Drosophila melanogaster: one gene and its partner. The protein of the gene in region 2 interacts with the protein of the main gene of each other region in a pairwise test. Each region holds a gene or a part of one and is shown on either strand. Other genes may lie near its edges.

The links.
Region 1: the proteins of CG10903 (region 2) and Acox3 interact in a two-hybrid assay, tested with the Drosophila melanogaster proteins (one large-scale study listed by BioGRID).

Annotation. Positions count from the first base shown.
Region 1 is NT_033779.5:6,437,438-6,453,783, forward strand, and holds Acox3 (Acyl-CoA oxidase 3), read right to left. Parts: upstream 10,426-16,346; 5' UTR 10,413-10,425; coding exon 10,170-10,412; intron 9,999-10,169; coding exon 9,864-9,998; intron 9,804-9,863; coding exon 9,313-9,803; intron 9,237-9,312; coding exon 8,759-9,236; intron 8,695-8,758; coding exon 8,424-8,694; intron 8,360-8,423; coding exon 8,205-8,359; intron 8,141-8,204; coding exon 7,850-8,140; intron 7,793-7,849; coding exon 7,682-7,792; 3' UTR 7,633-7,681; downstream 1-7,632. Other genes in the region: retm (real-time), read right to left, coding at 12,415-12,695, 13,256-13,577, 14,181-14,299, 14,360-14,618, 14,685-15,620.
Region 2 is NT_033777.3:8,023,886-8,039,228, reverse strand, and holds CG10903 (uncharacterized protein), read right to left. Parts: upstream 8,819-15,343; 5' UTR 8,680-8,818; intron 8,585-8,679; exon of another isoform or gene 8,439-8,584; intron 8,403-8,438; exon of another isoform or gene 8,304-8,402; 5' UTR 8,286-8,303; coding exon 8,247-8,285; intron 8,184-8,246; coding exon 8,146-8,183; intron 8,100-8,145; exon of another isoform or gene 8,084-8,099; coding exon 7,518-8,083; exon of another isoform or gene 7,448-7,517; coding exon 7,260-7,447; 3' UTR 7,084-7,259; downstream 1-7,083. Other genes in the region: unc-45 (uncoordinated 45), read right to left, coding at 2,725-4,289, 4,349-5,627; CG11035 (uncharacterized protein), read left to right, coding at 6,322-7,017; ImpE3 (Ecdysone-inducible gene E3), read left to right, coding at 9,748-10,725; CG2747 (uncharacterized protein), read left to right, coding at 12,388-12,452, 14,160-14,576, 14,636-15,343.

The DNA of each region.
Region 1 (16,346 bases), on a different chromosome or scaffold from region 2:
AAAGATCGGCGTTGTCGATCATGAATATTTTAACGCGAAGCAGTATGATTTAATAATGATGGTGTTAGAAAAAATTAAAAATAAAAATGAAAAAATTAAGGGCGAGTCGGTAGAAAACACTTTCCCTAAATCAAACACTGTCCCTAAATCAAACCCTCCCCCTACATTAAACCTTGAAATGCGTGGTCACCCTGAAAAAGAGGGTATAGCACAAAACAACGCTTTAAAAGTAGAGCAGGCATTTCGTAATAATGTTGGCCAATTTCGAGTATATCTAGAAGATACGTCTAAACTAATAGACAGTAGTCCAGATTTCCTTAAAATAAGGAAAAATAAAATTGAATTTTTATGGCATAAAATAGATAACCTGATTGAACAGGTGAATAGTCATTTTGAGAGTTCGCTATTCGAAGAAGAAATTAGCGAACTTGAATTTGACAAACAAAATATTCTTACAGCCATTAATAGTCGACTCAGTGGCACAATAAATAAAGCTGAAATGTCGACGGTTGTTAAGGCGGAGGAGTTACCAACCCTGCCTAAAATACAGATTCCCACCTTCTTTGGTGATTCCAAAGAATGGGATCTTTTTAATGAACTCTTTACAGAGCTCATACATGTGAGAGAGGATCTCAGTCCTTCTCTCAAATTTAATTATCTAAAGTCAGCATTAAAAGGAGAAGCCAGAAATGTGGTTACTCATTTACTGCTCGGCTCTGGAGAAAATTATGAAGCCACTTGGGAGTTTTTGACCAAGCGATATGAGAATAAAAGAAACATATTCTCAGATCATATGAATAGGCTTATGGATATGCCAAATTTAAATTTAGAATCCAATAAGCAAATAAAGACATTTATTGACACGATTAACGAGTCAATTTATATTATAAAATTAAAGGCACAATTACCAGAAGATGTGGATGCAATTTTCGCTCACATAATTCTTCGGAAATTCAATAAAGAATCACTCAATTTATATGAAAGCCATGTTAAAAAGACAAAAGAAATACAGGCACTTTCTGATGTCATGGACTTTTTAGAGCAAAGGCTCAATTCTATATCATCATTCTCACAGGAAGTAAAACCTGTAAAGAAAATGATTAATAATAACAAGAATAAAAATTATAGTGACAATTGTGCATATTGCAAACTACCAGGGCATTATTTAATTCAATGCCATAAATTTAAAATAATGAATCCAGCAGAACGGTCTGACTGGGTAAGAAAAAATGGGATTTGCCTAAGATGTCTGAGGCATCCGTTTGGTAAAAAATGTATAAGCGAGCAGCTTTGTTCGACTTGTCGTAAACCTCACCACACGTTACTTCACTTTGCAGGTCATAATCCAGAAAAAGTGAATACGTGTAGAACAACAGGTCAAGCCTTGTTGGCCACGGCCTTGATTCAAGTAAAGTCGAGGTATGGAGGCTTTGAACAATTAAGAGCATTGATTGATAGTGGCTCTCAAAGCACAATTATTTCAGAAGAGTCTGCACAGATTCTAAAATTGAAAAAATTTCGGTCTCATACTGAAATAAGTGGAGTATCTTCCACAGGAACGTGCATCTCCAAGCACAAAGCGGTTATTTCGATAAGAAATTCTCCGAAAAATTTAGAAATTGAAGCAATTATTCTCCCAAAACTTATGAAGGCACTTCCAGTCAACACGATTAATGTTGATCAGAAAAAATGGAAGAACTTTAAATTAGCCGACCCCGATTTTAATAAACCGGGTCGCATTGATTTAATCATTGGAGCAGACGTATATACTCACATTCTGCAAAATGGAGTTATAAAAATAGACGGTCTCCTTGGGCAAAAAACTGATTTCGGGTGGATAGTTTCTGGATGTAAAAAATCCAAAGGAAAAGAAACCATTGTAGCCACAACAATAGAAATAAAAGAGTTAGATCGCTACTGGGAAGTGGAAGAAGAAGAAAAAGATGATATCGAGTCTGAAATCTGTGAAAATAAATTTATCAAAACGACAAAAAAAAGATTCAGATGGGCGATACATTGTGTCAATTCCATTCAAGGAGGATGTCACCTTAGGAGATTCAAAGAAACAAGCGATAGCTCGTTACATGAATCTGGAGAAAAAACTAAAAAGAAATGAAAAACTTAAGGTTGACTACACTAAATTCATGAATGAATACATGGATTTAGGACACATGATTGAAGTGAGTGATGAAGGCAAATATTTTTTACCGCACCAGGCAGTGATTAGAGATTCAAGCCTTACGACCAAATTGAGAGTAGTTTTTGATGCTTCAGCAAAAACTACGAATAACAAAAGTTTGAACGACATAATGTGGGTTGGGCCACGAGTTCAAAAAGATATTTTTGACATTATTATTAAATGGAGAAAATGGGAATTTGTTGTTTCGGCAGACATTGAAAAGATGTACCGACAAATTAAAATAGATAATAATGATCAAAAATATCAATATATTTTATGGAGAAATTCTCCAAAAGAAAAAATTAAAACATATAAATTAACCACAGTCACTTACGGAACTGCATCTGCACCATATTTGGCTACCAGGGTTCTGGTAGATATTGCAGATAAATGTAAAAACCAAGTTATTAGTGCAATAATTAGGAATGATTTCTATATGGATGACCTAATGACTGGAGCTGATTCGGTAGAAGAAGCTAATAAATTAATAACATTAATTCCCCATGAATTGCAGAAAGTTGGATTCAACTTAAGGAAATGGATTTCCAACAATTCCAAAATATTAACCACTGTGGAGGACACAGGGGACAATAAGGTTCTCAATATTATCGAAAATGAATGTGTTAAAACTTTAGGACTAAAATGGGAACCTCAAAAGGATTTATTTAAGTTCAGCGTAAATTGTAATGATGAATCAAAAAATATAAATAAGCGCGTTGTGTTATCAACGCTAGCAAAAATATTTGATCCGTTAGGATGGTTGGCACCAGTCACGGTTTCAGGAAAACTTTTTATTCAAAAACTTTGGATAAATAAAAGTGAATGGGATCAGGAATTATCCATAGAAGATAAAAATTATTGGGAAAAATATAAAGAAAATTTATTATTGTTAGAGAATATTCGAATCCCAAGGTGGATTAATTCAAACAGTTCTTCAGTCATTCAGATTCACGGATTTGCGGACGCCTCCGAAAAAGCATATGCTGCAGTAGTCTATGCTAAAGTAGGACCTCATGTTAATATAATAGCTAGCAAAAGTAGAGTCAACCCTATAAAAAATAGGAAGACAATTCCCAAACTCGAGCTGTGTGCAGCTCACCTGCTTAGTGAATTAATCCAAAGACTAAAAGGATCAATTGACAATATAATGGAGATCTATGCTTGGAGTGATTCCACGATTACCTTAGCATGGATTAACAGTGGTCAAAGTAAGATCAAATTTATAAAAAGAAGAACGGATGACATTCGGAAATTAAAAAATACTGAATGGAATCATGTTAAGTCAGAGGATAATCCAGCAGATTTAGCATCCAGGGGAGTGGATTCTAACCAGTTGATCAACTGTGATTTTTGGTGGAAAGGTCCGAAATGGCTAGCAGACCCAAAAGAACTTTGGCCTCGGCAGCAGTCTGTAGAAGAACCTGTCTTAATAAATACGGTATTAAATGACAAAATAGATGATCCTATTTACGAATTAATAGAAAGGTATTCCAGTATAGAAAAACTTATACGTATAATAGCATACATAAATAGATTCGTGCAGATGAAAACAAGAAATAAAGCCTATTCATCAATTATTTCAGTAAAGGAGATAAGAATAGCGGAAACAGTTGTTATTAAGAAACAACAAGAATACCAGTTTAGGCAAGAGATAAAGTGCCTTAAAATCAAAAAGGAAATCAAGACAAATAATAAAATATTGTCATTGAATCCATTTTTGGACAAGGATGGGGTTCTAAGAGTTGGAGGAAGATTGCAAAATTCCAATGCAGAATTTAATGTTAAACATCCAATCATTTTAGAAAAATGCCACCTAACAAGCTTATTAATAAAAAATGCTCATAAGGAAACATTGCATGGAGGGATAAACCTAATGCGAAACTATATCCAAAGAAAGTATTGGATTTTCGGGTTGAAAAATTCGTTGAAAAAGTATTTAAGAGAATGTGTAACGTGTGCAAGGTATAAACAAAATACAGCTCAGCAAATAATGGGTAACTTGCCAAAATATAGAGTGACGATGACATTCCCGTTTCTTAATACTGGAATAGATTACGCAGGTCCTTATTATGTTAAATGTTCAAAAAATCGTGGCCAAAAAACATTTAAAGGATACGTTGCTGTATTCGTTTGCATGGCCACCAAAGCCATACACTTAGAAATGGTAAGCGATCTAACTTCAGACGCATTTTTAGCAGCACTCAGAAGATTTATTGCTAGACGGGGAAAATGTTCCAATATCTATTCAGACAACGGAACAAATTTTGTAGGAGCTGCAAGAAAATTAGATCAAGAGTTATTTAATGCAATACAAGAAAATATAACGATTGCAGCGCAGCTTGAAAAGGACAGGATTGATTGGCATTTTATTCCCCCGGCAGGACCTCACTTCGGAGGTATTTGGGAAGCTGGAGTTAAGTCAATGAAATACCATTTAAAGCGTATAATCGGCGACACTATTTTGACTTACGAAGAAATGTCAACTCTTTTATGTCAAATAGAAGCATGCTTAAATTCAAGGCCATTATACACTATAGTTAGTGAGAAGGACCAACAAGAAGTTTTAACACCAGGTCATTTTTTAATTGGAAGACCACCTTTAGAAATAGTCGAACCAATGGAAGATGAAAAAATCGGAAATTTGGATAGGTGGAGACTTATCCAAAAAATGAAGAAAGATTTCTGGGTTAAGTGGAAAAGTGAATATTTGCATACGCTCCAGCAAAGGAATAAATGGAAAAAGGAAATTCCTAATATAGAAGAAGGGCAAATAGTTTTATTAAAGGATGAGAATTGTCATCCTGCAAGATGGCCTTTAGGAAAGGTGGAAAAGGTGCATAAGGGGAATGATGATAAGGTCCGAGTGGCTAAAGTAAAGATGCAGGAAGGATATATCACTAGACCCATTACTAAAATTTGTCCCTTGGAAGGAATAAAGTCTGTTGACAAAAATGAGGCTGACCAAGAGCCAAAAAGACGAACTAGAGCGACATCGGGAATGTCCAAGATCGGAATCATTATGGCAATGTTGTTGTTTGTGTTAAGTTGTCAAGTTTCTAGCGCATTACCTAAAGATATAGCACCAAGATATTCTATAGACAAAATAAATAAAACCTCAGCAATATATCTAGACCCGCTAGGAGATGTTGAGATTGTGAGTACTTCTTGGAATTTGGTTATCTATTATAAAATGGATCCATATTTTAAAATGTTAACAAAGGGTAATGCGCTTATACAAAGTATGAGGAAAGTTTGCGAAAGACTTCATAGCTTTGAAGAGCAATGTAGTCTAGTCTTAGATAATATGCAAAGTCAGTTATCGGAACTTGAAGAAAACAATAAATTGTTTATGATACAGTCTAGATCTAGAAGCAAGCGTGCTCCTTTCGAATTTATGGGTTCCTTGTATCATATTTTATTTGGTATAATGGATGAAGATGATAGAGAGCAATTAGAAGAAAATATGAAGAATTTGTTAGATAACCAGAACAACCTTGATAAACTAATTCAAAAACAAACATCTGTGGTTGATTCAACTTCTAATCTATTAAAGAGAACAACAGAAGATGTTAACTCCAATTTTAGAAGTATGCAAATAAGAATTGAGAACATGACAGAAGTTCTTAAAGAAAATTATTATGTTTATAAGGAATCAATAAAATTCTTTATGATTACGAAACAGCTACACTCATTGATTGAAGAAGGCGAAAAAATTCAAGCAGGCATTATAAGCCTGTTGATTGATATTAATCACGGTAGGCTAAATACAAATATTCTCAGGCCAAATCAGCTTAAAAAAGAAATTGCCAAAATTCAGCAGAGTCTTTCGGAGAACCTAGTAATTCCAGGAAAACGGTCAGGTACGGAACTTAAGGAAGTGTATACACTGTTAACAGCCAGGGGTTTATTCATCGACGATAAATTGATCATTAGTGCAAAAGTGCCTCTGTTTAGCAGGCATCCATCCAAATTGTTCAGGCTTATTCCGGTGCCAATTCGAAATGAAGATCGGATAATAATGGTGCATACAACGTCCGAATATTTAATTTATAATTTTGAGATAGATTCCTATCACATAATGACGGAAGCCACATTAAATCAATGTCAGAAATGGCAACTAAATAAGAGAATATGCAAAGGAAGTTGGCCCTGGAATTCAGCGAATGATAATGCATGTGAGATTCAGCCTCTAAAGCCAGATAAAGCGGCGAACTGCATCTATAAAACAGTAGTCGACTCTAAAAGTTACTGGGTAGAGTTAGAAAAGAAAAGTAGTTGGTTGTTTAAGGTTCCTGCGAATTCAAAAGTCCGTCTGCAATGTACTGGCTCTCAAATTGAATTGTTTGATTTGCCTCAGCAAGGAGTTTTAAGCATTGCGCCATATTGTACGGCAAGAACCGACGATAAAATTCTAGTTGCCCACCATAACATTCAGTCCGAAAGTGAAGAATTATTATCAACACCTTATATAGGAGAAATTAGTGAAGCGCCGAAGATTATTTGGGATCCGCTGAAACTATCAATATTAAATCATACTGAGGAATTTGAACGATTGAATAATGAAATTAAATTTATGAAAGAGAACCATCAAAAATTGAAAGATTTACATTTCCATCATATTTCCGGACATGCTGGATTAATTATTGCTTTAATACTAATGATAGTATTAATAATATATTTCATACGGAAATGTGCTGTGCAACAAAGAATGCAAGCAATAACCTTTGCAGGTCCGTTGCCAGTACTATAAATATCAATAGTAAATAAACAATAAAATAATATAACAAATAAAAATATACAGTCCACTATATCGTTGTTTAATAGAAAATGTACTTCTACATAGAAAAAGCAAAATGTTTAAAATAAGTTAATTGAGTACAAATTGTTGAATTAAAAATAATATAAACCATAATTGTAATCCAATAAAATTAAAAGCCAGAAAAACTAGGCCCATTGAAATCTTAGTTGCAAAATAAATGAACATATATCAAATAAATACAGTCCACTACTGTTATAAATGCAACTAATATACTAATGTACATCTCAGCTTGCTGGCCCTTTGGCAGAATGTTCACACATGAACACGAATATATTTAAAGACTTACAATTTTGGGCTCCGTTCATATCTTATGTAAATGAATCGAGAGCGATAAATTATATTTAGGATTTTGTTATCTAAGGCGACATGGGTGCATTGCTCAAAAACATGTAATTTAAGTGCACACTACATGAGTCAGTCACTTGAGATCGTTCCCCGCCTCCTAAAATAGTCCCTTAGTGGGAGACCACAGATAAGGTCCTCGCCGCTCAAGATAGGCAGATGTGCCCGAGCGTGGGACCTCGATAAGGCGGGGACTATTTACTTAGGCCTCTGCGTAGGCCATTTACTTTAAGATGCGATTCTCATGTCACCTATTTAAACCGAAGATATTTCCAAATAAAATCAGTTTCTTACAAAAACTCAACGAGTAAAGTCTTCTTATTTGGGATTTTACAGTGAGTCTACAATTTGGCGCGCTTAAGGTAATCCTTGTAGGTAACATCACGCCACCAATGAGGACGCTCGTAGACACCTGGAGTGGAGACAAGCGTGCGCTGCAGATGCTGGTAGACCTGCGAAAGGATAGAATCTTTAGTAAGAGTAGCAGTTGCTTATGGTAGACCACTTACGTTTCCATCGCTCATGCCCAGAGGAGAGTTTAGAATAAAGTCTGTGGGAGCAATGGCATCCACCAGAGCAATGGCTTCGTTCTTCAGCAGGGGAAGCAGAGCCAGAATGCCCTGTTCGTACAGCTCCAGTTGGTTAGAGTTTTCGCGGAAGTAACCACCGCGGTAGAAAGCAGCGGAGTACTTTGTGACCAAGTGGGCGCCATAGAAGGAGAGCACCTGCTGCAGTACCTTCTTCTCAGCAGAGTCGGGCAGACCAATTACAAACTTATAAAACACGTAGTAGATGGTGCGCTAAAAGAATATTAAACTTGGTTATTTTACTATTTAGTTGGGGTTTAGAGGGTTGGCATCTCACCTCGCCGTAGATAATGGAGAGCTTCTGGGCGGCAAAGACCTGGATGTTGTTCCTCGTCTCAAAGGCATCCTTTCCTTCGCGCTGCTGTTCCTCAACTCGTTTCACCGTCGTATCCAGTTGCCAGACGGTAAGCCAGTTGAGGGCATTAAGTAGATCTATAGAAGTGCAATAAAATTGCGTTATTCCTATCTTATATTTGGATAACTAAGAAATACTCACTGAGCGGATCCAAAACTTCGGCAGGAGTTCGCTCCTGACCCTTGCTTTGCAGAATTGTGTCCATATCCTTCAGGAAGGAGACTGTCTCCAATGGGGAAACTGCCACGAAGTCGGCATTGTTGCGTTGCAGACTGATCAACCAATTGGACGCTTGCTGGATGAGCGTGTTGTTCTCGCCCTCATAGGTGCAGTTGGCATCGTTGTCGTTGCGAAGTTCGCCCAAGCCAGAAGATTTAAGATAGCCATGACCGCCACAGGCCTCGCGGCATTCCTGAGATTAAAACAATATAACCGATAAGTAAAAGTGGTTATATACATATATAAAGCATTCATACCTGGATGCCATCCCTGGCAGCCCAAGTGGCAACTGGTTTGAGTGCCGATGAGATCGCATGGATCTCCATGCCCGCTTGCGACGTGTCCTCGCCAGTGAAGCCCTTCATGGTCAAATCCACGTTCTCTTTGCCTATCCAGAGTGTGGCCACCCGCAAGGCGATTGTGGTGGCCAAGTGGGGAATTAGTCGGTATTGCTGTGACTGATACTCGATCACGGGCCACTCCGCCGGGCTGTTGGTAGGGCCAAACTGGCGTCTGCTGGCCGCATAGCGAGTGGCAATTGTCACAGCCTTGCTCAAGGCCACATACGTGATAGCAGTGATATTGACGCGACCCACGGAGAGGGCACCCAAGGAGGCGCCAAGGCGCTTACGCTCGTCCTTAATTTTACTGGTGTAGTTTCCCTGCGCATCGATGTCACCGGTCTTGGACAGCAGATTTGCCTTAGGGATACGATACTGGTTGAACATCACAAATCTGCAATGCCAAACAAATCGAAATTATTTCTGTTGCTGTTGATTAGTTTTATCAACTGATAGAAGAAAGTACTTGCCCGTTATCAATGCCATTGAGACCGATCTTTTCGCCCATATCGCCGACGGTTACGCCGGGGAATGGAAGCAATGTACGCTCGTCCCGAATGGGAACAAGGAAGGCCTGCAGGCCCTGGTGCTTGTCATCCGGCACGTACAGCTGGGCGTAGACGATTGCGTGCGTGCAAGTCTTGCCTAGATTACCGACCCAACACTTGGCCGCCTCGAAGTCTGGCGTGTGGATGATAAACTCCTGCCTTTTCACATCGTAGGTGGCACGGGTGCGCATGCCGAGCGCGTTGGTGCCGTGAGAAATCTCAGTGAGAGCGTAGGCGCCCAAAATGCGGTTGTCCGCGATCTTGGCCACGTACTTGCCCAGGCGGCCAGATCCGTTGGAGACCAGCGTGCTGGGGAACATGCCAGTTGAAAGGCCGAACTTGACCGAAGTGCTGAAATCGTAGCTAAAGATGGCCTGTCCGAAAGCAAGCAGAAGATGTGGGGTTCCAAGATACTGAAAGAAAGACAGGAGATTTAGGCAGCCACACTTTCAGGAGTACGCAACGCATCCTACCTCGTTGACGCCGTAGAACTGTTGCTCCCACAGAAGATGCTGCCGCTTGTTGGCCATTTCGCGGGTGCGTTCCAAATCGGATCCTGGCTCCCGCTGGTAGTCGGGGTGCTGTTCCATCCATTGCCACACCTTGTGCTAAAGACGGAGTGACATGTAAACGAATTACTCAAGTGTGCAGATAAGAAACGGGCGACGATTAGACCGGGCGGTTGGCGGCCTGCAGCTCCGACAAAAGCTATCGAGGCAGTCTGCACTTCGACCCCGCTGACCATGTACATATGTAACAAACTGGAAATGGTAACGAACCTTCAGCCGTATGTGATCCTCGCCCTCGAGCACCACGTTCATGCGCTTGTAGCAGAAGCTAGCCCGCTCACGGTACTCTTCCAAAGGTCCGCTACGGAAGTCGGGAAAGATCCGTTTGTCATCGTAGATGTTGGCTGCAGCCTTCTCCTCCCGGCGGCCGCTGTAATAGTCGCCCAGTGCGGTTAGTAATGAGTTCAGACCGTTTTGGTCACCACCATCGCCATCGCCTACTCCGCTCGCCATTGCCCAGAGAACTGGCTCTTGTTGGAATGTTGGATTGGTGGACGTTGTGGTCGTCAGTCGAGGCGATGGGGCTGTGGGGCAGGGGTACTTACTTTGTGCTCAATGCAACCATGTTGGAGTTCGATTCTAGCGACTGGTCTGGCTGCTTCGAATGCTAGGCGCGAAATGCTTGAAAGTCCAGGCACTCGTAACTATTATTGGTAAAATAGCCAATGTCCAATGGCCAGCGGCGATAAGAAGGAATCCGCTTATCCGCACTTCATGGCCAAGTAGCCTTTTAGTGGTTTGCATCCGCCGCGGATAAGATACGGGCCCTAGGAGAATGCGGGATTAGGGCGGCCCGTGCAGGTGGTGGTGGGTGCTGCCTGCGAAATTCGAATCTTTTAGCGGCCACAAACATTGCTTTAATTTCCTATCAGCCATCAGCCAACAACAAGCGCGATAAACAAACAATTTTAACCCAGTTTTTCACCATTGAAGATAACATAGTTTGACGTGACTTAAGCCATGAGAAAGAACGGTGTTATATAAATACAAAATGTGAAGTTTTTTAAATTCTGTTAATTATTATATAATATAATTATTTAATTATTATACATAATATACATAAATTTCATGTTTAATTTTCTTTAATATCACAATTCAATGTTTTCACAAAATGTTTTAGCGGGGGCGTTGCCAGACCTTCTCAAGGTAGCCAGGGCTGGAATAGTAGGTCTGGCGCGTAATTTGAATATTCTTTCTATCAGAAACGAGTCATTTGCTGGTCTAATTTTATCTATTTTGTTATATAAAAACATTACAATATATATAAAAACATTACAATCCACATTTAAAATATGAAAAGAGCATCCATATCCATACCATACAATTTTCATGGATTCTAAATTTGATTTTAATTAAAACTGTTGAATAGTTTATTTTTTTCAAGAGCCCACAATAAAATGCGAATATGTACATGTAATTGATCTAATAGCATTTATTTGATTACGTTCTTAATACAACTTACACACTTAGTTAACATGCACTCATTTTTCCTTCGTTATTGGCTTGTCAGTTTATTCTTACAATACACGTCAGATTATTTATAAAACTAAATTGTAAACATCCGCATAGTAATTCGTTTTTAATACAATAAATAATAACCAAAAAAACACACTGAAGTTGCCTTTTTTGATTTTAAAAACACTTTGGAGATTGATTGATATTAGCAATTAAGGGCGTACAAATGACGGGGTAATTAGTGTGCAATCAAAAACGTTCTGCATTCGAATGTTTAAAATACAATTTTACATTTATAATTATAATCTGACGTCTAGCTATAACCTACGTGTGTATTTCGAGTTCAAATCTTACATTTCACTCTTTTGTATAAGTTCTGGCTAAAATCCTTGCAATAAGCCATTTCGGCAATTTGTTTATTAAACTAATTAGGTAACACGTAGTTATTGATTACAATTTCAATTTTTTCTATTTTCGTTTCAGTGGCTGCGCAATCGCAATAAGTTCCTTAATTGTTGCTAAAAAATGTTCCATTAGAAAAAGCTATAAAAATTACGTCGCTTTTACATATATATGTACGCATTAAAACTTCATTTATAGAGCTGCTTACGAAAAATTCAAATTGACGATTCAAATAAAACGTTGCGTGATATTTTGGTGTTGCTCATTTAAACCGCTGATATTTCTAATTTTCTTAAGATTATCAATAATATGAATGCTTGTATATATTGAATGAATATAATAAATTTAAAAGGAAATAAATGGCCTATTTGAGCTAAATACAATTTAAAATCAAACTAACATTCTGCTAAACAACTAAAGACAACTAAAACACAAGATATTACCACTTTCGGTCTTAAAAGAATACGTCCGGCGTTTCAAATAGATTCAGGCTCTTCTCCATCAGGGTGCCCGTGAGAATGTCCGCCGCTATGGGCTCCTCCAATGCCGGGGATCTCCATTCGGCGCCGTTCGTTCCGCCATCCCCGGCTTTCTCATATCATCGACTCTGCACCGAGCTGGCCGCCGACGAGTTCGATGAGAATGCCGACTGCAGGCTGGTCATCGAACCCTTGTAGTTGGCCGAGCTGAGCACCTCGTAGAAGACGTTTAACTGGGCACCCGATGGACTAAACCAGTGCATAAGATAGCTGTCGTTGTGATGCATCACGTGCGACCCCTGGACGCTCTCCTTGTGCCGGCAAATCAGCGTTGGCTCCTCACGGAAATAATTGACGCCCTCGACGAAGTCCTGCAGATCAAAGTACGAGACGGCGGAATCTGTGGGCGAAGGGCATTTAATTATATGTAAGCTGTCAAGCTAATCAAGTTAATTAATTAAAAGGTTCAAAGTACAAAAAGCTTTATAAAATAAGGTTCAACTTTTTCGTATTTTACTACATTATCAAAACACATATGAAAAGCAATCCCTATCAATAAACCGGAACCAAAATGCGCGCGTTATCAATTTAATAGAGCCCTAGCAACAGATACCTTGGAAATTTATATAAATAAATATATACACAAATTAACATACGTTTTAATACTTAATTGTAATAGTAAACTATTCAATTTAAGCCAAACGTTATTAATTTGTTTTTAAGTTGCCTGACAACAAATTTTCTTTTCTTTTCGAAAGGGTGTAAGAGTTTCCACTTTCCGCATTTTTCGCTTTTTATCGTGGCTTTGTGTTTTTATAAAAGTGCTAAGTAAACAAAAACAACTTCTAATGAGGCAACAACATCGTGATATTCGCACCTTTGAAACCAAAACCAGTTCTCAGAACAAAAGAAAAACAAAAAGCAACATGAAAACCTTTTGTAAGTGCATTATTAACTCACCATTCTTTTCCGGAAGCTCCTGGGTGACCCGGTAGAGCGTAAAGTGCAGATCGTTGCGCATCACATCGAAGTCCCAGGTGAGCACACTCTTGGGATCCTCGTTCCGGATGAGCAGCTCGTGCGCGAATCCGGCCTTGAGATCCACACTCTTGTACAGATTGCGATGATCGTGTTGCTGGTTGGCAGACAGGCGCTTGCCTGGAACCAAAGCCTGTGCCGCGGCAGTGGTGGGCAGCTCGGCGGTCACTTCGTCGTCGTGATCCTCCAGCGAATTCATCTTGTACAACGTCTTAGGCACCAGTCCGCCCTCGTGAATCATGGTCTTTGTGGAAAGAGGACAATACGTTAGAGCAGTTTCTGGTGGGCAGGCTCCGTGGCTGTTGGCTTGGACTGAGCACATGTATGACAGCCGCCGGGTGAACAGAGAGATTAAGTGACGTGGACATGGACGCTGGGGCACAATGGAGGAAATATTACAGCAGGAATGTCATGGCTAAGCTGCGCACATGGGCTTGACACAGTTTGCAACAGAACCGCACAGCGAACAAAGTGTGAGAAACAAAAACGAGGAAGTAAGACAAAGGCGGACGAGTACAGTACAATTTGTCGTTGTGGATGGTGACAAACGAAATCGAGAGCAGGAGCAAAAGAACAAGAGAGTAGGATGCTTACACAATCGCATTTGGTTAAATAACAATGGCTAAAGTATTTCTGACTGACTTGCTCCACATGCGAGACTAGCTGGTTCTCTGTCTGAGCAGCCCCAGCGAGCCGGAATCAAGGCCGAAACCAGAGGGATAGAGAGTTAACGCACATATACAATAATAACATAATATAGTAAGTACGTTGCTACAGATGCAGCAGTAATGGGCTCCCAACCGAAGACGCGCTACCGGAAGTCGTGGCTGCCGCCTTGCTTGCTTACCTTGCACGGTCCGCCCAGGAAGTCAGGCACAATCTCCTCGTCGAGATACTGGGCCAGGCCATCCTTCATGTGCGCACAGTCGGGGCCGTAGAACAGGAACTTGGATCGGGTGTGCTCATCTGCAGGATTTCAAAGCGTTGTTAACAGGCAATTCCATATGACGGCTTGTTCAGACTCACCAATAAAAGCACTAACGATTGTCCATGCAATGGGAAACACTCTGGGCGCTCGCACCACTAGGACACGGCCCATGGTCTCTGGGTAATTGCGCTCCACAGTCTCGATGATGTTGAGCAGGGCTTTGATGCCGGGACGCCAGAGGTGGCGCATAGAAAGACCCTCCAGATCGACAAGCAGTGACCAGTTGAGAACTGGCTTCTCCAGGCGTTCGGCGGATTCATTGATCTTCTGAATGCCTTCCTCGCAGATGTGCAAAGCCTATAGACAGACAGCATATTGTTTAAAATGTAATCTCAGCGATAAGTTCTCCGCCGGCTTGCTTACCAATCGCAGTAGTCCATCCATTCCCAGTGACTTTAGCAGGCCCTTGACGTCCATGTGTCCCAGGCGCAGAATGTAAACGGGTCGACCGTCCTTGTCCAAATGATGCCAGCCGCCCGGAAAGTGTTCCACTACCACGGCTGGCTTGGAGTACTCCGCCAACAGTGCGTCGATGCGATGTTCCCGACGCCAGCGAAGCGAGTCGCAGAGCATGGCGTAGGCCTGGCTAACGTGCCAGTCCCTGGCTGCTAAGAAACGCAGGATGGTCTGATAACTGGGCACACGCTCCAAGTCATCGACACCATCCAGCATTTTTCGCAGCTCCAGCAGCTTGGACTCCTGCATGGGCGACAGCTGGCCCAGGCTGCGTGCGATAAAGTCGCCGTCCAGCAAGATGCTATGCTGCTGATCCGAAGCCTGATCGAGGGTTGGCGATTTGGTTGCATCACTGGGCGATGTCCAACGCTCCACATGCGTGATGCCTTCCTCGCGCAGCTGCCCGATAAAGAACTCAATGATTTCTTTGCCCTTCAGCGTCGTCTGGGTGTACTGCTTCATGCCCATCTTTTCCATCGAGTGCTCGAAGCCGAAGAAGTTCTTAATGTCCAGCGTGGCCGACTGGTCAAAGCACGTCCATTCGGAGTTGTCCGGATGGGCGTAGTAGCGACACCGCTCGAAGATTTCGATGCGCGACGAGAAGCTCTCGTTGACCGCCTCGATGCTCAGCGTGCGGTTGGCCAGGTCCAGGAAGTTGTGCTGCAGGAAGTACACATGGTCCACGCCAATAAGCTTTTTGAAGATGTACGGCGCGTCGACCGCCAGCTTGCAGCGTCGGCTCGTGTTTCGCTTGGCCCCGTCCTCCAGGGACTCGTCCTTAATGACCTCACAGTCCAGGACGATGGGCATCTGCGGGCATGTGGGAAACCGCCGCTCATAGGCCTGCAGTAGCAACGAGGATAATAAGTTAGATGTATGTTGAATATGTATATTTAAGGACTCTCTTTGATAGCTAAGTATTTAGTGAATTCAAATTGCTAGCAACAGTTTTGGTAAGTGTATGTATTTATTTTCTATATTCCGGTTCCCTGCCAAGCGACCTTGAACGCTGGCCAATTTATAACTTGGCCCTGCAGCCATCTATGTACATGCACCCCATCCCGCCCCGTTTTGCTCATCCTCCGTCACAGATTGCAGCCAACGTCTCAGAAGCCTTTAACAATTTCGAAGGTCTATTTTTGGCCAATCGTGCCTGGGTTTTCGATGAAAAAGGTCAAATTATTAGGGCGGTTGCGAAATGTTGTTTCCTATATTTTATATAAATCTATAATATACATATTTCTATACTAAATAGATAATTATTTAATAGCAAAAAAGAAGCATCGCATATTTGCAAGTACAAAACTTTTTGATTAAAGTCAACAGCGCGTATGAGTGATGGATTTTTAACTCAATTCGCAGACGCACATTTATTTTGATTATTTATTTGGGTATGGCGTAAATACGCAAAAGCGCAATATTTAAGCAGGTGAGAGCAGTGCCTGAAAATGTTGTTTACTTGTGTTTTCTTCCATATATAATAAATGCAAATTCCGAAATTGCTAAATATATTTAGCAAAAAAAATTACATTTACTTATAAACAAAACTTAGAATAGCTCCATTCATGC
Region 2 (15,343 bases):
AGGATAAAAGGAGCATGCCAAATTAAAAAAAAAATAATAATTAAGATGAAACTTCTGTTGTTAATTATCCATGAATTGCTTGCCTTAAACTAAATTAGATGCATTTTATTATAAATTAAATTGAAAGGCGTAATGTGCTTTTATAGCTTGCCAATGTGTTTCATTTATTGTAAATGTAGTAGGTAGTAATTTTTATATCTTTTGCCAAGCGATTTTTTTTCCAGTGCACTTTCATGGCTGGCTGACAACATTGTTGCAAGTTTCTGACCATGTTACTAATGGCATTCGATGATTTTGTTGGTTTTGCCTGGATTCTTCCTCCAGTCTGAGATGCTTAGCATATTCAACTATTTGAGGATCAAACGAGTATCTTAACGATTCCGGCCAACGACATTCGATTGATATAAATTTTGAGCCAACTTTCTGGCTATCACCACAACTTGTCCTGGCTCTTTGAATTGTTCGGTCGGTGGTTGCCAGTTTTAAGAGCGATCGATGCACATTTTCGGCTTTCAACGAATTTTTTGCGTTTAGCCATCGATTCAAACGCTTTTCGGCAGATGGCAGCAGTTTGATTAATTACCATGGCCAATGCGAAGAAAAATCGCTGTACGAGTTTTGTTTGGCGGTGCTCTGGCAAATTGTCCACAAGTTCTGGCGAAATGAAAAAAAAAAACCATTGAGAAATGTCTGGCAGGGGAACACTTCACACTTTACATTGTCACAATATTCACATTCAATTCACACACACACTCATCTTTCAACTCAAAGTTCTGCCAGTTGGGAAGAGGAATCTTCCAAAAGGGAAACCACTCGTGCAACCTGAGTTGACACCTGCACCAATCTGATGTCTCCATAACCGTAACCGTCTTACATCGATTCGATCGATCCGCCTAGCCACTTGCACTTTCAGCATCGTCTTTCTACTTGCGGTCAACTTTCATCTTTCATCCCGTATCTTTTGCTGCCTGCACTTTCGTTCAATCGGTCAACGCAACGTCGCTGGCGGTGTATCTGAATCTGTGTTTTTGTGCCCCTGCACCAGCATCAATACACTAAGAAAACAGAATTAGTTCCATTTTTATATATGCTAAATTAATATAAAGCAAGGAATCTACTGGGTATTAGTTAGTTTTCTATTTTGAAACGAGACAATTTCAAATCCAGCATTAGTTAACTGAAAAGTTTATTATTTTTCTCCCAGTGCACATTTGTTGCGCCGCATCGCCTGGGGGGGGGTAATTTGCATATTTTCCGCATGCGCAGACGACTCGAGTCGGCCAGTTTATTAAACAAAAATATTGACATGAAAATCGGCTTTCGATTTCCACGGGACAAATTGGGCGGCACCAACTGTGTTGCACCACACTGAACCGCACCGCGCCACCAAACCGAGATTAAATGGAAAGTGAAGATGCACATATGTACGTCGCCAATCAAGCCGATGAAGCTCTAAGCCAGTGCTTCCGATCCACAGTCTTAGCAAACTCTTTGCCACACGGTCTGTGTCTGTCGTCTGTGTAATTAGGACAAAATGTCTCATTTTGACCAATGCCGAAAAAGTAAATACAACCGAAACCGAAAGTTTCTGCTTCTTGGGGATTAAGTCTGGGATTATTTTCTTTATTATCGATTTCTCAAATGGAAGAAGAGTGTACATTTATTATGAAGTAGCCGAAAAACTCGATTTTCAATATTAAACAACGCTATAGAAATGAATTTCAATTTGCTAATATATTTCCACGGAAATATCCTTTTTACATTTTTTAAAATGTCTTTTTTTACCATTTTTTAAAATGTTTATTCCCCTAACTTAATTGTTTTTATACACCAATTTTTTAAATATATTGCCAAGCATTAGTTTGTTTCCTTCTGGGGTCTTACATCAACATATTTTATTTCAGCTTATATCCCTTTAGCATATAAGGGTCCTGAAGAATTCATCTTCCTCATTACTTTACCTTCTAACCACGTTATTTATATTGGTCAAATTGAGCACAGTATATGGTTTAAGGAGAAGAGGAAAATGCGAAATAATCGCGGGAAAAGGAATGCCAAATGGCCAAAGACAAAAAGCGGGATGGATTTCGGAATAAATGCCGTTAAGTCATGGCAACCGAATCATAGCAACCGAAACCCTCGGCCATTTCCCACTGCGCTGAGCCAAACTAAATTAAAGCAACTATTATTTATTTAATCACACTTCATTGAGATTGAGCAATCAGCTGGAAGAGATGCTCGGCTCGGAATTCCCGGCTACCTGACACTGCAACACTGCCGCATCAGAAGCATCTTCTGCATTAGAGGAAGTCAGCTACCTCGAGCTGGCGACTAATGTGTGGCAATGAATAGAAAACGTACCGAGGCAGTGCACCGGGGAAAATGGAGTCGGTGGGAAAACACTAGGCCATCCTAGTGGCCATCCATATTACAATCCAAATCACATTAGGCCGCAGCAATTAGGCTTGGATTAGGCTTGGTCTGTATTAAATTAGTTAAATTAAAAAATCGCGTATTCATGAAATAACTAAATAATATATTATATTACCCACTAAGGAATAAAACAAACTACCTTTAAAAACGAAATAAATTCGAACAATATTTATAAAACAGTTAAGTACATTTGATATTTTGAAAAATAAGTTAAATTTCGCGATGACACTGTGAGTAAAGTAAAGAAGATGAAATGGAGGAAAAACAAAAGGCACTACAAACGAATTTCGCTTAATCATCGATAATCTCAGATATTTTCGAATTTTCGGCAAACACATCGGGGATTTCCGCGTTGTCGGACCGCTCGATGATCCTATAACGCTCCGCCGCCGCCAGGCACTGGGTGGCCACCTCTCGGGCCTTGGCACGCGTGTCATCGGGCAGCTGCCCCAAACCGCTCAGCAGTTCCATAATGTCCGTTTCAAACAGCTTTTTGGCGATCTCCTCTCCAGCATTGATCATGTTTAGAATAATCACAATGCCTCGATGCTGGACCGCCGGACTGGGATTGGCGATCAGAGTGTGCAGAATGTCCAGCCAGCTGGCGATGGCCAAGATCTTCTCACAGCACTTGACAGACACTGAAGTAATAATGGCCAGAGCTCCGGCACAAGCTGTTGCGGTCTCCTCGTCCTCATCCTCGCAGAGAAGCGCCAAGAACTTCACTCGGTCGTTATTGCCCTCGAACATTTTAATGACATCCTCACTCATAACCAGATTACACAGACACTGGGCAGCTGCACGAGTCAGGTACAGATGGTCCTCCATCAGATAATACTCTATCTTGGAGACCCCCTGCTCCTTGATAATCCTCTGGCGCACGCTCTCGTTCATGCTGGCTAGATTGGTGAGTGCCATTAGCGACTCAAAATTCTCCAGCGCTGTGCAGTCCTGTTGCAAAAGGTTCAACAAAGGACGGATTACATCAAGCGATCGCTGGCCACTGAAAGATACTTCCGGATTAATGGTTATGCCAATCCTAGCCAACGCCTGGGTAGCATGGCGTTTTCCTTTCTCAGTTCCCTCAAGCGCCATACGAAGCAGCGCCTTAACGCCGCCTTCTTGAACCACTTTTCCTCGCAACTCTTTCAGTCCACAAACCGCATTCAAAACCCTGGCAATCAGCTCCTGTGAATTGTGGCTTTCAGTTTTCGCCAGTGCACAAAGAGCAGTTGTTATGCCCTCATTTGCCAGCACAGTAATACGCTTATTGATGAAATCTACGTCGTCCAGCTCGTGCTCCTCCGGTATGTGTTGCTTAGCAAACTTGGCAAGTTCTATCATCTCAGGCAACATCTCCTGCTTCTCATACGCATTGCACAGATTCACAAAAGTAGTGACCACACCATAGAGACAGGACTGATTTCCTCCGCGGGCCAAATCCATTAAAGCGTGAATGGAAGCCTTATCCTCAATGAGCTTCTCCTTACATTCAGCATCCAGTGTTAAATAAGCCAGACCATCGGCAGCCCAACGACGGATATCCTTATCCTTTCCAGGTTTGATCAAAAACCGACGGCATGCCTCCGCCAGCTTAAGGGCAGCTCCATCGCCAAATGGTCGGATGGCCGCGTCCTGACCGCCGTAGCTACCCAGCTTGCAAAGACCCACCAGGGCGCGTACTCTAATACCATCGTTCTTGGAGTGGTAGAGCCGCTTTAAAATATCTACTCCCTGCTCACAAAGAGCCTTGGCCTTGTCCTTTTTAGAGGAAGCGGCGATTAGGCACTCACATGATACTCGCTGCTGCAACTCATCGTCGGTCGTAGCCATTGCTAGAATCATCTGCAGTATTCCTGTTACAAATTTCACCATTAATTAAGTACCATTTTCTAAATCCAATAACAGAACTCACCTTCTCTGGCCACAACCTGATTGCCCACATCCAATGGACCGTTAAGCAGGGCAGTAATCGCAACGGTGACCCGCACCTTGGATTCCATATCAGGCGCCAAAAGCTTGTCCTTAATGTATTCGTCGATCTGGTCCGTGAACCGTGCCTTAGCTTCATCGTAGTACATGTTCTCATATATCCGGGCCAGACAAACGGATGCAATTGTGGATGATGAGCCTGTGATATCCATTGCACTCTCGTACTTATAATCCTCCAGTTCGGAGCACACATCCAGCAGACGGCACAGTCCCCTGATCTCAACCAGGCGTTCGGCCCATTCTAGAGCTGTGTAGTGGACATTCCTGGTTATAAGCTCAATAACGCCATCCCTAGCTGCTCCAGAAATCGTGCGATCCGTGATACTATAAACTAGGCATGTTAGGAGAGTGTCAATTTCCCGGTTGTTCCTAGTGCACAGCTCCTTCTCCGGCTTCGAATCGGGTTTGTTCTTAAGCCCAGACAATGCGTTCAATATTGTTTGTAGGCAAAACTGGGCGGTGGACACACAGTTCTCGTGTTTTTGGTCGAGAACCCTCATGAACCACGGTACTCCGAGTTCAGTTAAAACGCCCTTTGTACGCTCGACGCTATTTTCGCAAAGAGCAGCCACCAAATGCACCATATTCACATAAATGTCCTGATCCTTTTCCACCTTTGTTAGTGAGGCCACTTTGGCGATGCAGTGGTCCTTGTAAAGCAGTTCAGCGCCAGTCTGCTCTTTGGCCAAAACTACTAGGTTATTGGCTGCCGCGCGACGCTTATCGATGGGCGTGGCCAAATCAAAAGTAAGATCCATCATCTGCTTGACTTTTGTGGATGTCTTGGCATTACGGGCAGAGCGCTCTTCCACGACGACATGAAGCCTCTGGAGCATGGGCTGTACGGTTTTGTTGCCGGGATCCGCTTTAAACAAAGCGGTTGCGTCTTTGTAGGCCTCTTCGAACTTCTCCAGAGCTTCGTACGCCTGAGCCCTACGGAACAGTGCCTTGGGATCCCCCGGAGCCGCTTTCAAAGATTCAGTGCAGTCCTCTACCGCATTTTCATACTTTCCTAGCTTCAGATAAGCGGCAGCACGATTCTTATAGAAAACCGCCAGCTCCTTGTGCTTAGAGCCCGCCTTAATGGCTTTGCCATAGTGCTCCACTGCCTCCTCCCAGCGGGAGGCCTTGAACGCCTCGTTGCCCTTATCTTTGTAGCTTCCTGCGTCGGACACTTCCTCGCTGTTGATGGTGTTTGTCATGGTTACACAATTTTCTGTATAAAAAGACAAAAACTGTAGCTGCAACTTTTTATTGTTAACGGATGACTCACTATTCAGTTCGGTTTTGTGCCTTCTGGCCTAAATTTCGACCACCAGAAACTTCTCGATCGCTCTCGAATACACACAGATACAGTTGCAGGCGTTTAGCGGGAAAATCAAGCACGCTGCGTGAGACTATTGAACCGGCTGCTGCCCTGTTCTATATATAAATAAAAATTGAGAAGACTCAAACCAAAATAGTTGCAACAGTTGCCATTCGCAGCGAATCGGCCAAACAGCTGACTGGAACCGTGGAGCTTACGTTTTGCTTTTTTCATCATAGCCCAAACAGCTGACGAATTTCAACTTTACTAAAGTCTTAAATTTTTAACTAAGCCAGGGATTACAAATATTTTTCTGATATATCTGTAAAAACTTTTTTGAAAATCATTTATTCTGTAAATATTTTCAAAATCTATCTTTTATAAATTAATCAATTACAAGCTCTTTTTCCTCTTTCAGCTAATTTTTTGCTGTACCTGCACCATTGGTTCAGAATACTATCGATCTATCGATAACAACGATGGCGAGGGTGAACAAGTTCAAGTTCAAACAGCTGATTCGATTTGTTTTTAATTTTCATGTGATATAACGAAACCAAAACAAGTGAAGCGGGCGAAAGAACACATCCAAGATGTACCAGCACAGCCCAATGTTGTGGCGACCTCTGCTTCTGCTGCGTGGCCTCTACCTCAGTCAACGCCACCAGATGAGCCACTACGACGCACTGGGAATCAGGCGTCAGTGCACGCAGAACGAGATCAAGGCAGCTTACTATAAGCTCTCGATGCTTTATCATCCGGACAGGAACCAAGGAAGTGAGAACGCAGCCAAGAAATTTCGGGAGATCAATCAGGCTTATGAGATTCTGGGAAATTACCGGCTGCGTCGACTTTACGACAAGGGAATCGTACATACGGCAGGCGCCCAATATGCCCAAGATGTCCACGATGTAGCGGAACCCGTAGTCGAGGACGATGCGGAGACTAAGTTTTACAAGTCGCGATTTCAGAAATCGCGTGTATCTGATTCTGCGGGCCGTACGCCCATCTATGACTTCGACGAGTGGTCGCGAAATCACTATGGTAAATCATTTGACCGGAGACAAGCCGCCCAGGCCAAATACGATCGAATAAAAGTGCAAAGGGAGACCAACAGAATATCAGGCCAGACTGACATGGTCCTGCTGGCCTTTATCTTTGCCGGAGTGGCCGTATACCTGATGTTCCTCGCCGAAAGCTCCTACGACACTCCCAAGCAGAAAGCGAAGGAACGATACAGACGCGATCAAGAAGAGCGAGAACAAAAACTAGTCGGGAAGCAATCTTAGAATTCTCTAGTCTTCAGCGTACATAGACTTAAGTTAAATGAATTAAATTCGAAACAATATAATTTTGTGAATTAAAGATGTGTCCGTTTTACTTAAGATGAATAGCAGCGGGACTTATACATATGTATATAAACATCCAACGGCATTGTAATATCCTTAATCTGACTCAAGATCTAAAACATATAGACAAAGCCGCAATTAGAGATTAGGTCTGTCACTAATTTTAAATGTAACAACTTTATTCAAAATTTGCCGCTGCGCTTGCGTGCAGTGTACTTTGTGTCAGGACGGGTTTCCAACCCCTGGCGACGTCGACGCTCTTTCTTGGCTAGGATCCAATCGCGGGATTTCTTTGGCGCTTTTCCCCGAGCCTCACGGCAAGCATCACGTTTCTTTATATAGTTTACACGACGTTCCTCTTCAGGTGAGCCTACAAAAGCAAAGAAAAATGATGTGAAAGTAATTATTAGTTTTCTATAATTATTATTATTAAAACTAACCCAAAGCCTGCGGCAGCTCAGCAGATCCTCCAGTCATGAGCACCAGGTAGTACTTCTTAGCCTTGGCAGAGTTTGGATAGTCGACAACCAATCCTCCGTAGAATCCCGCCTTCATGGCTTGCGAGGTTACCATCTCGATCTGATCGGAGTTCTCCGGATAAAATTGAAAGACAGCTCGCGCGGTGCGTGTCAGACAGGAAAACAAGGTGGTAAAGAACTTCAGCAGGCGCTTGTGGGGATTGTGATACGACTTGTCCGCATTGCAGAGCCATTGGAGGGCAGAGATCGAGATGGCGCCGTCGAAAGTGCCCGGCTTAAAGGGCATTCCCTCGCCCATGTCTCCCAGAATGACATCCCCAGCAACCTCGCGTTCCACGGCGATATCGAGCATAGACTTGGAAATATCTATGCCGATCCACATGTGCTCGCTGTCCTCAAGAACGCTACCTGAGAGTCCAGAACCACAGCCGATGTCCAAAATCAACCGAGACTCATCATCATCCGGGAGCGCCAATAGTTCCAAGGCACGTTCGGCCATTTCTACTTGGATCTCAATGATGCGGGTGCTAAAAAGTTCTGGTTTTTATGAGTTCGAACATATACATACATATCTATCTAATCTACTCACTTTGTGGAATATTTCTTGGCCTCATCATCGTTGTAGAACTAAAGGAATAAAAAATTGGTGAGGGTTCACTTGATGGGCAGTACGTTATGGCGTATACTCACAATTTCTGGCGGCGCCGAATGCTCTGGTCTTCTGGCCATTCTTCCTATATTATTTATCTGTAATTTACAAAGTTGTGCACAGAAATTCTGGAGCGTTTAGGTAAACAAAAAAATAAGCACATGTGCAATCAACAAGCAGCTGTTTCTCATTCACATCGAAACGTAGACAAATGTTTAGACTATCGCCATCGGCCAAAGTTATCGAGCTAGCCTACACAAACCGTATCGCAACGCAGTGAAAATTCGTGAAAAATTCAATTTTTCCAGTAAACTAAAAGCAATAACCATGTGAAGAGAGTGATTTTAATTGTAAACTTGTTTGTGCACGAAGTGAACCGGTGAGTTGAGTCTGAAAGCACGTCGAAATTGAAAACAAAGCAACCATTTGCATGGGGCCAATTTGGGTGTGGGAGTGTGCCAGTGAAATTGTTACCTGTGTGTGTGTCTTGGTTCTGACGCGTCAAAAAATACACATGACACTATTAAGTGCTAATTGGCCAGGCGGAAGTGCAAAAAGTTTAGGTGTGCGAGTGTGAGGCCGTTATGTCTGTGCTAAAAAAGCAGCGGCACGGCTTGCTTAGGAAACCCGTTATGCTAAGTCGTTTACCGTGCTCCAATTTCCTCGAAAAAAGCGAAAACTCATCTAGACGGCAACACAAGAGCAACAACAACAGGTTAATGCTTCTCAAACAGCTGTTTGCCGGGCTCCCTTGCTCTCCTTTTTTGATCGACAGCGGTCATCAATGGCTCTCAAAGTGTCGCACTTGCAAGTGATTCTTAAACTGCACCAAAGATGCATTTAATTTAATGTAAGAGCTTTTGTACTCCTTGCAAATGAATAAAGCACCCAAAATCAGGTTTATGTGCGGTTCGCCTGCTTTCTGCCTGTGTTTGTGCACACTTTGCATATTTATGACCAAACTGGTTGTTCTTTTGGCAACGGAACATCTTTCACTCTTTCCAAGAACAACATTCTCCGCCAAAAGTCGGTGGTTACAAAATTTACGCAACAAGCGGCGATCGCGGTCGCTGGCCTCTCCACTCAACGAGTTTGCTAAAACCCCCAAAAAATCGCATGTGAAAAGTTGAAGCCCAACACCGAAGCTATAAGTATGCTCAGAAATCATTGACGCTATTCCATTAGGGCAAATGATTTAAAAAGGAAAACCGAGAAGTATTGCTTTAATAACATTTATTAATAGAAATAAAAGATTGTGATGATACTCAAATTAATATAAAATCAATACAGATTAGTTGTAATCGTTTGACCCTGAAGATTTTTTTATATTTTCTGCGCGTTAAAATACCTTTTGAAAGAGTATAAGCTAAAGCCGAACCCGCTGTCACCCATTTTGAAAACCAGATACAGATACGGAGACAAAGACAGATGCAGAGCCAACTACAGATGCTCGCTGGTTGCTGGGAAGAGTCGCTTCAGTTGAGTGCCTCCATTCCCCCAGAGTAAACCGTTCCCGCCAGAAGAAAGTAAGAAAAGCGAGAAATGCGCAGTGGGCTAACGGTTCGTCCAATGCTGGTGGTGCTTCTAGTGGGTCACCTAGTGGATCCAGTGGCGCCGGCTAACCTACTGACTAGCTATCTGCCCGCCTCCATGCAGGCCTTGGCATACTATATTGACCTGCTGCAGTACGAGCCACTATCAAGCACAACAGTGGAGCCTCCTTTCAGTGCGGATGAAGAAGGTATGGAATCCACCACTGCAAATCCGCGCCCATCCACACCGTTGCCCACGAGGATGAGAACCACTACCACAAGGCGACCGATTGGAGCAGGTGCGTCTGGATCTGGTGGCATGGGCTGGTGGCAGCCGCCAAGTTGGTGGGAAACGCCGAAGAGATCATCCACAACCGAGAGACCCACATCGCCACCCACTGTGCCGCACCGTCCGGCAATTTTTGCACCAACTGCGCCGCCGGAAAAGTCCCTTGAGGGCAACGATCTATTTGCAGAAATCAAAGATGATAGCGACTTTGATACCCTGCCTTTGTCTTTGATCCGTGATATTCAAAGCGAGCGCTACGACTTTACCAACGATGTGGAGTCACTGGATAACTTTTTGCGCCTCTACGACGATAACTACGGAAGGGCCGCTTTCGGTTCTGAGTCCGCGATGGATCGATGGAGCACCGCCTCGATCGCAGGCAAAAAGAGAGTTCCTCCCACTAAGCCCTATGTGGATTTCCTGCTGGTTTACGATCTGCTAAAGCGCGATGCTAAGGCGGCGAGTCTGAGCAAGTACGAGGGATATTCCGAGAATCTGCTGGTGGAGCTGCATGCCTTGTCACAGGTTTCGGCGGCCAGGCAATTGTATACTCTATTTAAAAGGATGTTGGACCGGGGCGATATCCAGCGCAGTGACGTGGTGGCCCGCGTGCAGGGAATCGCCAAAGATCTGGGGAATCCCAAAAGCCCCACTTCCAAGGCATTGACTTTTATTCCCAGCATGCAGTTTTTACCTTAAGCTCTTAGCATAAGTCGCAATAAAGTCGAAGGACCTACTGACCTTACAATTGTGTGTGTACTTTGATAAATTCGAATTTTTGTTTTGGGGAATAGTCACCCAAAATCAGTTTGAAACAAGAGCTGATAAAATAGTTTATATATTTATTTGAGCACATTTTTTAGAAATATTAGACAGTGTACAAAGTTTTGTTTATACATAATTTGTAGTGCATTGTTGTTTTATTATTGCAGATTAATCGGGGCCTTGTGCAAGGTTTCTAACATTTTCAATAAAATAAAAATCGAAGCAACTATAACGCGATTTGTGCTTCTCACTATATTATGTAACTGTTAAATCAGCCTTGGCACTTATAGATTTGATTAATCTTAGGACATAAGTAAATCAGTGAGTCGCGGTCTGAAATATAATTTGACTTGCAACTGGCGAGGTAGGGTTAATTATTCGCCTTATGTATTATTTTCTCTGGTCTTTAAAAACCTAAATAACCTTTTTTCAGTATCTGCTTTTAAGCAAATTAAGTATAGAACTTTTTTCTGAATGAATTTGGATTTGGGACCGATTCTAAATCATTCGGTAGACCCTTTACGGCCGGAAGTGCCGCCAAACGTGTTCTCTTAGGACAAAGCAAGCGGGACAATTGTCGCAGGACACTGCACCTGGGCTTCCCTTCACCCGAGCGCCGAATCAGCGAAACGACTTAACTGACACATTGACATAGTTCACGCCAATGCGGGTGTGTGCGGACATCGGTGTTAATGTGCCCAAAAGTCTATAACAGTGCTGGCTGCAAATTGTTGCTAAATCAGCTGCGATTCTAGCGTGCGACGTCATCGCCCGCTCTCTCACAAGCCGCTCTCTTCCGGCAGCACTTGCCACCCACTTGTACTCTTCTCGAACGTGCCCCACAGCGGGTGTTTTTCCCGTGTTCTTTGCGCCGCTCTTTGATTTTATTTTGTTTTGGCGCTCTCTCACTTTAAAGTTCGTACATTCGTACACTCGACTTGTGTATACACTTTTAAAGGCCTTTTTTCAAGACATATATTATGCAAATATTTGCAAGGAGGAACACACTAATTTACCAAACGTTATTTTGATATTAAATAATAATAAATAAATTAATAAAATAAAAATTAACTTATTATTAAAAAAAAAACTCATTTTTAAAAGAAAATTCCATTCTATTCGTTGGAAAAAATAAATGAAGAAACACGAACGAAGGCGTTGGATAACATTTGGCAAGACCGATGCTATCCTTAAAAAGTGTATGAAGAGAGAGAGAACACTTTTTACTTGGTGGGTTTGTGCTCGCCAGCGCTCTTTCATTTCATTTTGTTTTTGTACTCGGTGCGCGAAGCAAGTGTAAGCGGATCTGGTCTGGACCTGCATCTTTTCCAGAGTTGCGCCTGTAATCCGCTCTAATTCGGTTTTATTTTTTCGCAACTTATGCTACATCGAGTGACAAGAATGAATTGACCTAGTGTAATTGAAAGCAAAACAGTAATATTAAACAAAATCCATTGGAGCAGTTAAAAACGTGTGCTAAAAGTGCTTTTGTGGAAGTGTTATCGATTTGTGTGAAAGTTGCAGGCTGCTGCAGATTGGCGAGAGAAACGGCGAAGAAAGTTTTCTGGAAATGTGAAGACACAGCAAATCACAACAATGGAAAACTTAAACTTTGCACGCACGCCGCAATTTCTGCGCAAAGTTATCTCCGAGGCGCGCAGGTAATTTCGGGAAAAAAACAAAAACAAAGCTGGAGGGTGGGTTAATCGAGGGAGGGGGGGGGGGGGGTGTGTGTGGAAAGTGGAAAAGTCAACCACCACCACCCAAAAGAATTCACCACTCACCGGCGAACGAGTCACCCTGATGTTCCCGTAGTGCACAGGACAAGTCTAGCCGGGATTTCAGTTCGTGGCTGCTTCTTGGTTTCATTTCCATAGCTGGGCTGCACCTTACAGGTTTTACTTGTTTTCCTTTTGTGGGCGGGAAAGTGGTCGCCAAAGGAGGCGGTGCAGCAGCCCAACGGCGTCTTATGTAACTCGAGCCTGCAGACGTCAATGGTTCGGTGTCCTCACGCCTGAGGATTATTTCGCCTTGTATGTACGCACAGCGGTGGTCAAAATAATAGCACTGAAATACTCATTGAATGTATGTATGTATGAAATCAGTCTGTATTTGGCTGAAGACTAAATAACTCTTTTTGTAATGATTCACAATAGCTATAGGTGGTGAAAAAATGTTGCGTAACTAACTAGCTTAGAGTTGACAATATATATTCCTTTTACTGTACAGTCAACTAAGAATTAATATGTGAAACTTTTTCGAATAAGGGCACTTTTACATGGCTGGATGTTTCCAGTAAAGCAATTACTGCAAACGACCTTCCCCAGCACCATGGTGCTCCAACGCCCCACCATTAAAATTGCAGCGCACCCTCGAACATCCTTCCCATTGTCTTTTCTTACCCTATTACCCATAGCCGGCGGACATCATTTCGCACATAGCACACAAATGACGAGGACAAGAGCCGCCGCCGCCGCTTCGGACCCCTTTGATTTTCCGAAGAAAAGGTCTTTGTTTCGATTTAATAATTTGGCTCCTCTTGACTTTGCCGCCATCTGTGTCAATGGGCGCTGCTATCGAGCCCAAGGCGACAGCTCTTTGCCGCACTTATCAAAGCTGGGTGACAGTGGGAGTGGGTGTGTGGATAAAACAAGAAAATAGAGCGGTTGTGGGTGTGTGGACTTCCTAGTCGCTACCAGTGCAGTTTCCGTTCGAAGCGTGGCGGCGCATCGATACATTTGAATATGTTTCTGGGTTGACTTCATCACCGTCATCATCGCCGTATATATAGATTGAGTGATGCATACTTTTCCACACAATACCACTGGGAAGAGCCGCGCTGGGCCCCTTATCCACATAAATGTGTATTCCGTAAATTGATTGCTCTACTTATTAGTGGCAAGCTTTTAAGACATATTTGCTTTGTTAAGCGGACACAATTTCCAACGTTTCTGTTATAAATAAAAAAAGGTCATCTTCTTAATAGTTATATTTAATGAAGTCGTTTTCTTGACAATTTTTTATCTATTTTACAACTTTATAAATATGGATTGGCAAAACCAATGTTTTTTTTTTTTTCAAGTGGCATACTTACGCACGTATATACATTATATATTTGTTAGACATTGATCTATAAATTTAATGGATATAAAAGTTTAGTATACCACTTAAATAGTAAAAAAATAACAAATTTTGAAATGTGATCAACAAATTGTAATCGATAATGCAGCTGTCCGTACTAGTAGACTCAAATGGCAAGGTCAAAGGCCGACCGATTCGTAGCGAACACAATCATCAACCATATGTTGCGTTTAATTGATGAAACATTCCGCAATTTATATTGTTTTTTTTTCTCGCTTGCTCTGCAGATCGTTTATAAACAGCGACCATTTTTCCGCCTCATCGACAAGGGGACGCTCGGAAACTGAGGAGGAGGCTATATCCGAAATGGAGCTGGCCCACACTTTGATCCTTAATGAGGATGCTCTCAAGCAGTTGCCCGAACACAAGCGGCCTGTGTTCGAGTTGGAATGGCTGCGCTACTTGGAGAAGGCCCTGCCACTGGTGTCCAAAGCGGAGATCAAGGCGAGCCAGAAGAAGCTGGTGCAGCAGCTCTCTGAAAGAATCCAGGGCGCACCAGGTCCGCCCATTCGTAAGCTCATTGCTAGCGCGTTGGCCACGCTATTCTCCGTTGGTGACACCTTCATGCTCTTCGACACCGTCAACGCCTGCAATGACATCCTGAAGAACAAGGACGACTCGCCCAGCTACTTGCCCACAAAGCTGTGAGTAAATTGCATTTATAAAAATATAAAAATCGAAACTGAGTCTCTTTTATCCCTAGTGCCGCCATTTGTGTGCTGGGCTCTATGTATGAGAAGCTGGGCAGGATGATGGGCCGCACCTACGAGGATACGGTGCAGATCCTTATTCGAACGCTTCGCAACGCTGAGTCGCAGGCGCGGATTGAGATCATGCACACGCTGGAGAAGGTGAGCGCTGGCATGGGCACAGCCATTGCCAACGTGCACAAGGATATTTACAAGGCGGCCAAGCATTGCCTGTTGGACCGAGTTATGGCTGTTCGAGTGGCTGCAGCCCGCTGCATCCTTAAAATGATATACAGTGCACCATTCCTGTACCAAACGGAGCTGGAAAGCTTGGGAACATTGTGTTTCCGAGCCTTCGACGGCAGCAACTATGAAGTGCGATGTGCGGTAGCTCAGCTGCTGGGAACACTTCTAGCCTATACTCAACAACTGGCAGAAGCGGCAACAAGCAAAAAGAAACAGGGACAAGCGGTGGCTATTCAAGCGGGCAAGGGAGCTACCCAACGCTTGGTTTCCCTGGATGAAGCTCTGGGCATTCTCATGTCAGGTTTCCTTCGTGGTGGCGCATCTTTTCTCAAGGGTACCGGAGAGATTATCAAAGGCAGCTCAGGTGTCAACCGTGAGGTGCGAGTGGGTGTAACGCATGCATACGTGGTTTTCGTGCAATTCATGGGCAGCGTTTGGTTGGAACGACAGTTAAGCACATTTCTGGCACACGTTTT